Neurospora crassa OR74A: one gene and its partner. The protein of the gene in region 1 interacts with the protein of each later gene in a biochemical or structural test. Links are inferred from orthologs where the notes say so. Each region holds a gene or a part of one and is shown on either strand. Other genes may lie near its edges. The genes, in order: pkc and NCU03137.

Region 1 (4,399 bases):
CAGGACTTTTCGGGCGATGGTGTTCTCAAAAGTCAGGCGGTTAACATGTGAGGTCTTTATACACAGACCAACCTTTGAGATTTGTTAGTGCGAAACTTACAACGTCTTCTGACAAGGCAGAAAGAGGACATGATTTTCAGGCGGTTCTATTGGTCCAAACCGAGCTAGAGTCAGGTTATGAACAACAATTGATGGTGTCCCATACATATGTCTCGCACCAAAATTTGACTGTACTTATAGCGAGCAATAAGCAGGATTGGCGCCTACCTCTAGCCATCTTGAAAGTGCCATGTTAACAAACTTTTCGAGGGTGAACTGTTGACAGCATGTTCCTTCACTAGGACGAGTGAAAGAAAGTCGACTGCGTGATCCAAGTCCCCAAAGTGTGATTCGGCATGCCCAATCACAGCCCTCCAAACTCAAGCGGTTCAAGGTGCGCCACCAACTGAACTCAAGTGCACGCACCCGTTTCGATACTGCGCCCACTGACACCCCTCGGTCTCCGGGCTTCCAATCCCATGTCCCAAGCCCAAGTGCGGAAGGGAAGTCCTACCAGCGCCCTGCACCACCATTTCAACAGTCCTACGGTTCGGTATCAGCGCACCAGGCAGACCAGGCCATCCACTCCCGTCGTGACGGTGTCGTATAGGTATCGATGTGTGGAGGTGCCCATCTTCTGTTCGGGTAGTCATTGCCTGTGGCTGCCCAACAGTCTGTCTGTGTGAGCTGTGCGTGATATGCAAACAAAAGGGTTCCATTCCAAGAGGGTCGCTGCTGTTAGTGTTGTTGACTGTTTGAAAATGCGCCGATTCGGAACCATCTGATGCCAAGACGAGGCTATCGTAGATTTTTGTTAGTTCCCAAGAACCACCCCCCTTTGGATGATGGGGTGGTAAAGAACACTGCATGGAATGGGCTCGTCGCGCCTAAATTCAAAGAACAAACGGGGACTGTTGGCCTCGAGATTTCCCGCTTAGTATGTGCGGTTCTCGTATATCCCTAGGTGTATTAGATTTCATTGTTCTCGTGATGATGGATATACTAAAGAATGAAAGACACCTAGCGGGCGAGGTACCTGACTGGGAACCGGAAGTCCAGTCGACAAATTGAAGTGTTGGACTTGGACCAAAACCACGCGATCCCCGCCTCTTCAAGGGGAAAAGTGGACGTTGCTAACAAGGAAGTGACCTGCCCGCCTTTGCCCCGAACTGCCTGTGCGTACTTCGACCGCTCAGCGTGCAGTACCAGGCATCGTCGTCTCTCGTCTGGATGCCCACTGGCTGTTTGGCTCGTCGAATCGACAAGGGCCGCCGCCGCCAAACCTATGCGAAACACACAAAACCCCGCCATCGTTAGCATCATACCTCTCTCTGCAGTACCTGCTAATCTGCTGCCACCTTGAGCCTTTCCATCTTGCACATTGAAGCCTCCTCGTTCAGTCCCGTCGAAAAAGGCAAAACCCGCCTTTTCTCTCTGTTAATGCTAATTGCTGCCCCGCCGCCACTATCTCCTCCATTACCTACCTACCTACCTCTACCTACCCGACGTCTAGGTCCAGCAGCGTAGCACTCCAATCAGTGTCTGCCTTATAAAGTGTCCATAGCACCTAGAGGTACCCTCGACCTCCATCCATCCCTCCTGGCTGGACCTCCTTATCCGTCCTCGCTGCCAAGTTGCCTTCCTGGCTCGCCTCGCCTTCCACCCGGGAAGTGCTCAACTTGACCGTCCATCAACAACCACCACGACGCATCCGTTGCATGTCATACTGGCATGCCAGCAGCATTTTAGTCGTCCGGATCAAATCCCGTCGTCCTCCCTCTCTCCCTCCCCCCCCTCCCCCGCTCTCCCACTGCCGACACCGACTCCGACACCGTCACCGTCGGACATTAGTATTGCCAGGAGCATCTTTACCTTTCATCCTCTCCAAAGTAATCCATCTCCCACCGTCGCCATCGGTCCGCCGGGCCCAATACCGCCACCATGAACGACGAAGACAAGGTCCACGACATCTCCAAGAAGATCGAGCGCGAAAAGGCTCTGATCAATGCTGCGCAGGCCATGCGCCAGCAGACAAACAATGAGCAGGTCCGCTCCAAGCTCGACACCCAGATGCGCGAAGGGAGGAGGAATCTCGAGTTCTTCGAGGAGAAGCTGCGCGAACTGCAGATGAGGAGACTCGGCCATGGCGTCGACAACATGTCGCTTGGTGCCAGCCCAATGTCCGGCTCCCACCGACAGTCCGTTGATGACTTCGAGGGCTACGGCGCCCCCTCTCCTCCCCCCAAGGAGGACGTACGCGGCCACAGCTCTCACCAGAGTCAGGGCAGCGGTCCTCTGATGCCCGCCTCTGCTCCTTATCCCGGTGGTCCTCCTGACTCTAATGTTCCACGGGCGCGTCCTAATTATACAAGGCTCGGTAAGTTGGACATCTTCCTTGGACCAGTCCCCCTTTAGACATATTCTGTGTGACTGACGTTGAGGGAACTGCAGATCTAATCAAGTTCGATACCCCACATCTTGGACCTCGCATCCAGCTGATGTTGTCCCAAATCCAGTTCAAGCTCAACGTGGAAGAACAGTACCTAAAGGGCATTGAGAAGATGGTACAGCTCTATCAGATGGAAGGTGATAAGAAGAGCAAGCTTGACGCTGCCGCCAAGCGTGTCGAAAGTAAACAAAAGATTGTCCTCTTGAAGCAGGCACTCAAGAGATATGAAGAGTTGCACATCGACATTGATGTTGATGGTCCAGATGGTAGAATTCCTTCCCCCACATGCTGCTTTCACCAGCACTCCTTTTACTAACTTTGAATGTGACTATAGACGACAGCATCAACCTGCCAGCCCTTAGGAAACCCCTGAGCGGTACTCTTTCTATTCGCATTCTCGCTGTAAAGGATGTCGACCATGCGCCCCTCGGTCGTTTCGCTCGCTCCCCCGAAACATTCATCGCTGTTAAGGCCGAAGATATAGTTGTTGCGCGCACAAAGCCTTCGCGAAACGACAAGTGGGAAGCCGAATTCCACACTTTCCCGGTCGATAAGACGAACGAAATCGAGTTTACGGTTTATGATAAGCCCGCCGAGCATCCCGTGCCTATCGCCATGCTCTGGGTCAGAATCTCGGACATCGTCGAGGAACTTCGCCGAAAGAAGATCGAGGCCGAAATGACGTCCGCAGGTTGGGTTTCGGCGGACCGCGTTGGCTCCAGAGCTCCTCCGCCGCAATTCCCAATGGGCGCCCAGAGTCCTCAGTTTGCGGCACCGCCAACATCCCCTGGATCACAGGAGCAAAACACCATGATCCCACCCCAGGCGCCTCCGCCATCCCAAGTTGTTTCACAGCCTGTAGACGGTTGGTTCAACCTGGAGCCTTATGGCCAGATCCACCTCAGTTTTAACTTCATCAAGGGGGCTCGTCCTCAGGGCATGGACAGGCTGGGTCGCAAGGGTGCTGTCCGCCAGCGCAAGGAGGAAGTTCACGAGATGTATGGACACAAGTTTGTCCAGAAGCAGTTCTACAACATTATGCGCTGTGCGCTATGCGGCGATTTCCTCAAGTACTCCGCTGGTATGCAGTGCGAGGATTGCAAGTACACCTGCCACACCAAGTGCTACACCAGCGTTGTTACCAAGTGCATCAGCAAGAGTAATGCCGAGACTGATCCTGACGAGGAAAAGATCAATCACCGCATCCCCCATCGCTTCATTCCTTTCTCCAACCTTACTGCCAACTGGTGCTGCCACTGCGGTTACATGCTACCAATTGGATCCAAGAAGAACTCGAGGAAGTGTTCAGGTATGTCGAGTTCGCCCCTGTTTTGGAGCCCCATATGCTGACAATTATGACAGAATGTGCTCTTACAGCCCACGCGCAATGCGTGCATCTTGTTCCTGACTTCTGTGGCATGTCTATGGCTGTCGCCAACCAGATCTTGGAGGGTATGCGAACGCAGAAGAAGACTCATAAGGATAAGGCGTCCTCGATGAGTGAGCGTACCCTTAGGCCGGGGAGCAAAACTTCCATCTCGTCCGGGTCGATCGCTCAGGCATCGACGTATAGCGGTTCGACTGCTTATACGTCAATCGCTTCGCCCGAGGCAACTGAGGCTGCCAAGCTTATGTACAGCCAGACAACGCCCAGGCCAGGCGGCCCCGACAGGACCTCTACCAGCTCAACAACCGCCTCGGCGGCTGCGGCTGCGGCTATGGCACCAAAGCATAGCTCTCAGCCTTCGCAAGCCGGTTCGATACCCGACTTTGGTGGTTCCCCTGGCTATGGACGACCGGATTCTCGGGACGACGAGTACTCCGCCCAGCAGCAGCAGGGATATGGCTCGCCGCAGCAACGGAAGTATAACCCGGCGGACTATGCTAATATCGACGCCTACTCAAGCCCAC
Region 2 (4,461 bases), on another chromosome or scaffold:
AGGCAACTAACTATAAAGCATCACACCATTTTTGCTTGGGGATAGGGCTCTACTCATCAAATCGATCCGTTACGCCTCCGGATTTCCCAACAAATATCACCACCGACCCCCAAGGACTGAGGACGTACTGATCCTCAGCACCGGGCAATACGCTCAGGCTAAGATTGCCGTCCATAACCCCTTACGGTACTACACGTCTTCCAGGCAGCTGGGGTAAGGCTCTGCCTTGTACTGTATGCGGGATGAAGAAAAAAGGCGCTGGATAAGCCGTGGTATCCCCAGAGGCCTCGCACCTTTGTAGATAGTGTATGTATCTTGTCTCGCCCCTTGGGCACAGTTTGGTGTCACCAGGTGTACCCGTAAGCCGATAGAAACCCGGGATACACAGCGAGAGTTGACGTTCACGGCATATCTCAACCCAGCTACCTTCAGAGTAGACGGCTGCAATACCGCCGGGAACAGACAATGGACACTCAGCGAGCGACTGCTTCTTTTTTTTTTCACAACGACAACCGCTTGTTGACGGCTCGTTGGATCACTTAATAAACGTCAGTCAAACGAGACTGACAAGGTGAGAATACGAAAAAGTTCCATTTTCAAACTCGCGGTGTCAGTGTCAGTCAGCAGGACATCAGGGGAACTTGAAGGGTACCTGGTAGTCCAGCATAACAAACATCCCCGTGACCGCTTATGACACCAATTTGTGCGGTTGGATTGGCCAGCCGTGTTAGCTCGTTGCAGACCGCCGAGGTACCAGGCTGGTAAATGACTATATTGCCGTCTTACAGGGTATCGCTAGAGACTTGCACCAAGTCGGTAAAGTGCGCGTGGGTTGATGATGGGGAACAGCCGGTGCAAATGCAGTCTTGTGCCTGTCTGCTGCCCTGACAAGAGGCCGAACTCATCAAGACAGAATTAGATCTGATTGTTGAGAAGGGAACCGCCCTCGTGATTCTGGAAGGTTGGGCGTTGGGGATGATCCCGTTTCTCATTCCGCCTCACCGGGTATGTAGAGGTGGATACCTACCTACGTATTGTCTGGTAGTTCTACTGGTTTGTTGTTAACTTGGTACCTAGGCACTCACTCGTAGAACACTGAATGAAATGTCTTCCGAGATGTCTCCAACCTGTTAAGGACTAAATGAATGGCTGGATATAGATCCAAACGGCATCCATAAAATTCAATACGGTGTAATTTAGCTCGGAAGAAGCATAATCGCCGCTTGAAAACCCACGGGGAGGTTGACCCGAGGTCTCGAGCTAACTTTCGTACCAGTATAGGTTGGACTGCACAACGAACAACCTAGCCGGTTCCTTAGTTCCTTCCCTTTTAGTTCTACTCGGCGGATCGCGATCCGTTCGCCATGCCCCAAAAAAACACAAAGTTTCTACAACACGAGCTCTTCAATTGTCGTGCAGATTTTGGTTCCTTAGTTCGAAGCATATGATTCTGAAGAAAGGGTTTGAACGCCCCCTTCGGACTTTTCACACAGTGTTTTACCGTACTGCGCATAATCAATCCACTCCCCAAGCCCAGCATCCCACTTGGGTTGCTACCTTCCTTGTCTTTCACTGCTTGAACCGCGGCAGACGTTCGTCATCAGATCCGCATTCACTGGGCAAAGTCCCCCAACACGGCGCATTCCTCAATACTTTTCTCCCGGCATACTCGCACCACCAGACGGGAAGTGAACGAGTCGGATTCACTCACGCACACCACGTTGAGTAACCATCCATTCGAGACGACAGAGCAATTGAGGCCGGGTGGTCAGAGCCTAATATCTCCCTACGCATATCGGGCGTTCATCCGGCCTTCCCGACCTCGCCCAACACACTAGAGAACCCCTACCGGTCGCCTACCGGTCGCCTACTCGAAGTCGAGAATCGAGATTGCGGTCGACATTACATAACCGTCCAGACCGCATGTAGCCTTGCCATTTGACTGCCCCCCCATATACCGACATAACCAACAAATACCCCCTCCCTTTCCCCTTTGACCATCAAGAGGGACACATCCTTCTCGACGACAGAACGAGTTGCGATTGCCTACCATGCAGTACGTCAGGAGTCTCGGCGACTCTGTCTCTACCGCCTGGAACTCCATCAACCCTGCGACCCTCAGCGGTGCCATCGACGTGATAGTCGTTGAGCAGGAAGATGGCACCCTTGCATGCTCTCCCTTTCACGTGCGTTTTGGCAAGTTCTCGCTGTTGCGCCCATCCGAAAAAAAGGTCGAATTCAGGGTCAATGGCGTCAAGCAGGACTATGCCATGAAGCTGGGCGAGGGAGGCGAGGCCTTCTTCGTCTTCGAAACTACAGACACCATCCCTCAGAGCATGCAGACGTCGCCCATCGTGTCGCCCGCCTCTAGCCCCCCGCTCAATGCCGACCAGTCAGGGCCTCTACAAGAACCTGAATCACTCGATCTGAACTCGGTAGAAGGCAAAACCCGTTCTTCGAGCTTCAACCACAGGCCTCCTCCCACTGCTCTACTAGCACGAGACGGTAAGCGCTGTGTCCAGCTTCCACGCCGCCATGATCGACATATACTGACAAGCATGGGTTATAAGGGTTGCTCACACCTCGTTCCGTATCACCAGATCCTATCAAGGGTGAATGGTCTCCGTTTCGCCCACATAGCGATGGCCTTCTGCGGCAGTCAGCGCGAAGAATGCCAAGCGATGGCAGCACCCACGAAGGTTCAGAAGAAGGCGATAGCCACACCGAAAGATCCCGCAGCCCGCCGCCGCTTACAGCACCCGAAGCTCTTCAAAGGGCAATGAACCTCTCCCGAGAGCTCGCCGCCGCCAATATCCCTAACCACATCAGCGAGACCGGAGACCTCATGTTAGATATGACTGCGTTCAAAAACAATGAGGAAGACGCCTTCCGGGCTGAGATCCTTGCGCGCAAGATTCTCACGGAGGAGCTTGATGGCAACTACGACATCGGCGCACTTTTTGGCGTTGACGAGCATGGAAACCTTTGGATCTACAGCAGCATCGAGGCGAAGGAGGCCGCCATGAAGAGGACGATGGACCCCCTACGCTCTGCATCTCACATGGGCAACATTGATGCGGCTTCTGACCCTGGGTATCAGAGCGATGCTAGCGATACCTCAGCCGCCACGACTCTACCGATCCACAGGAGAGCTGACTCTGATGTCGGCCAGATGACCCTGCAGACACCCCCAAGCTCTCCCGGCAGTTCGGCAGCGGGCGATCCCAATCGGAACTACGCAAAGACCTTGAGGTTGACTAGCGACCAGTTGAAGGCCTTGAATCTGAAGCCCGGCGAGAACTCAATGAGCTTCACCGTGAACAAAGCTACCTGCCAGGCTTACATGTTTTTATGGAAGCACGAGGTACCCGTGGTCATCTCGGATATTGATGGAACCATTACAAAGTCTGATGCGCTTGGCCACGTGCTGAACATGATCGGGCGCGACTGGACGCATGCTGGTGTAGCCAAGCTGTATACTGATATTGTAGCCAACGGGTACAACATAATGTATCTGACGAGTCGGTCTGTCGGCCAGGCCGACACTACACGAACTTACCTCGCAGGTATCGTTCAAGACGGGTACCGTCTCCCACGCGGACCTACCATTCTCTCACCCGACCGAACCATGGCGGCTCTCCGTCGCGAGATCTATCTCCGCAAACCACATATCTTCAAGATGTCCACGCTTCGTGACATCCGCAACCTCTACGGGCCCGATCGCACACCGTTTTACGCCGGGTTCGGCAACCGTTTCACGGACCAAATCTCGTATCGCACGGTCGACGTGCCCCGTAACCGTATCTTCACCATCAACTCTAATGCAGAGGTGTCACTCGATTTGCTGAGTCTCAACAAACTCAAGCTGAGTTACGTCAACATGACCGAGGTTGTCGACCATTACTTCCCACCTGTCACCACGCTCATCAAAGGCGGTGGCGAGGATTATACGGATTTCAAGTATTGGCGAGACCAGCCTTTGGATCTTGACGAGTTCTCTGCCAGTGACACCGAGGACGAGCGCAGCGGTGGCCGAAAGACATCTGCTCCGGCTGTTGTCGATGATCATGAAAGTGAGTACGAGGAGGATGACGAGGAAGAAGTTGGCGACGGTCTTGTGGACAGCTACATCTCGAGAAACTCGGTGGATGATTACGAGGAAGGAAGCGTGGCAAGTGAGGATGGGGATTATGATGCAGAGGATGATGGCGAGGATGATGGAGAGGATGGTGAGGAAGAGGAGGGAGAATATGATGAGGAGGCTGCGCCCGAGCATATGGTTGATTCGGCTATGCTGGACAGCGTGTATGTGGATGCAGATGCGGATGGAGTAATCACTGACGACGAGGACGCCGAGGGAAAAAAAATAGTTGAAGAAGAAGAGGTGGACAACGAAGAGGAGGAAGACGGAGGACTCGGCGCCGAGGAAGAGGAAGGGCTCAGACGTGCTGCTGCCGATCT

Evidence for each region.
Region 2: of the proteins of pkc (region 1) and NCU03137, one has a biochemical effect on the other in vitro, tested with the Saccharomyces cerevisiae proteins (3 studies listed by BioGRID). The link is inferred for Neurospora crassa OR74A from reciprocal best matches to the Saccharomyces cerevisiae genes PKC1 and PAH1.

Annotation. Positions count from the first base shown.
Region 1 is NC_026504.1:1,589,471-1,593,869, forward strand, and holds the start of pkc (protein kinase C-like protein), read left to right. Parts: upstream 1-1,334; 5' UTR 1,335-1,980; coding exon 1,981-2,416; intron 2,417-2,490; coding exon 2,491-2,754; intron 2,755-2,822; coding exon 2,823-3,797; intron 3,798-3,850; coding exon 3,851-4,399. UniProt on the Saccharomyces cerevisiae protein: Required for cell growth and for the G2->M transition of the cell division cycle. Mediates a protein kinase cascade; it activates BCK1 which itself activates MKK1/MKK2.
Region 2 is NC_026501.1:4,687,394-4,691,854, forward strand, and holds the start of NCU03137 (nuclear elongation and deformation protein 1), read left to right. Parts: upstream 1-1,395; 5' UTR 1,396-2,051; coding exon 2,052-2,505; intron 2,506-2,570; coding exon 2,571-4,461. UniProt on the Saccharomyces cerevisiae protein: Mg(2+)-dependent phosphatidate (PA) phosphatase which catalyzes the dephosphorylation of PA to yield diacylglycerol. Required for de novo lipid synthesis and formation of lipid droplets.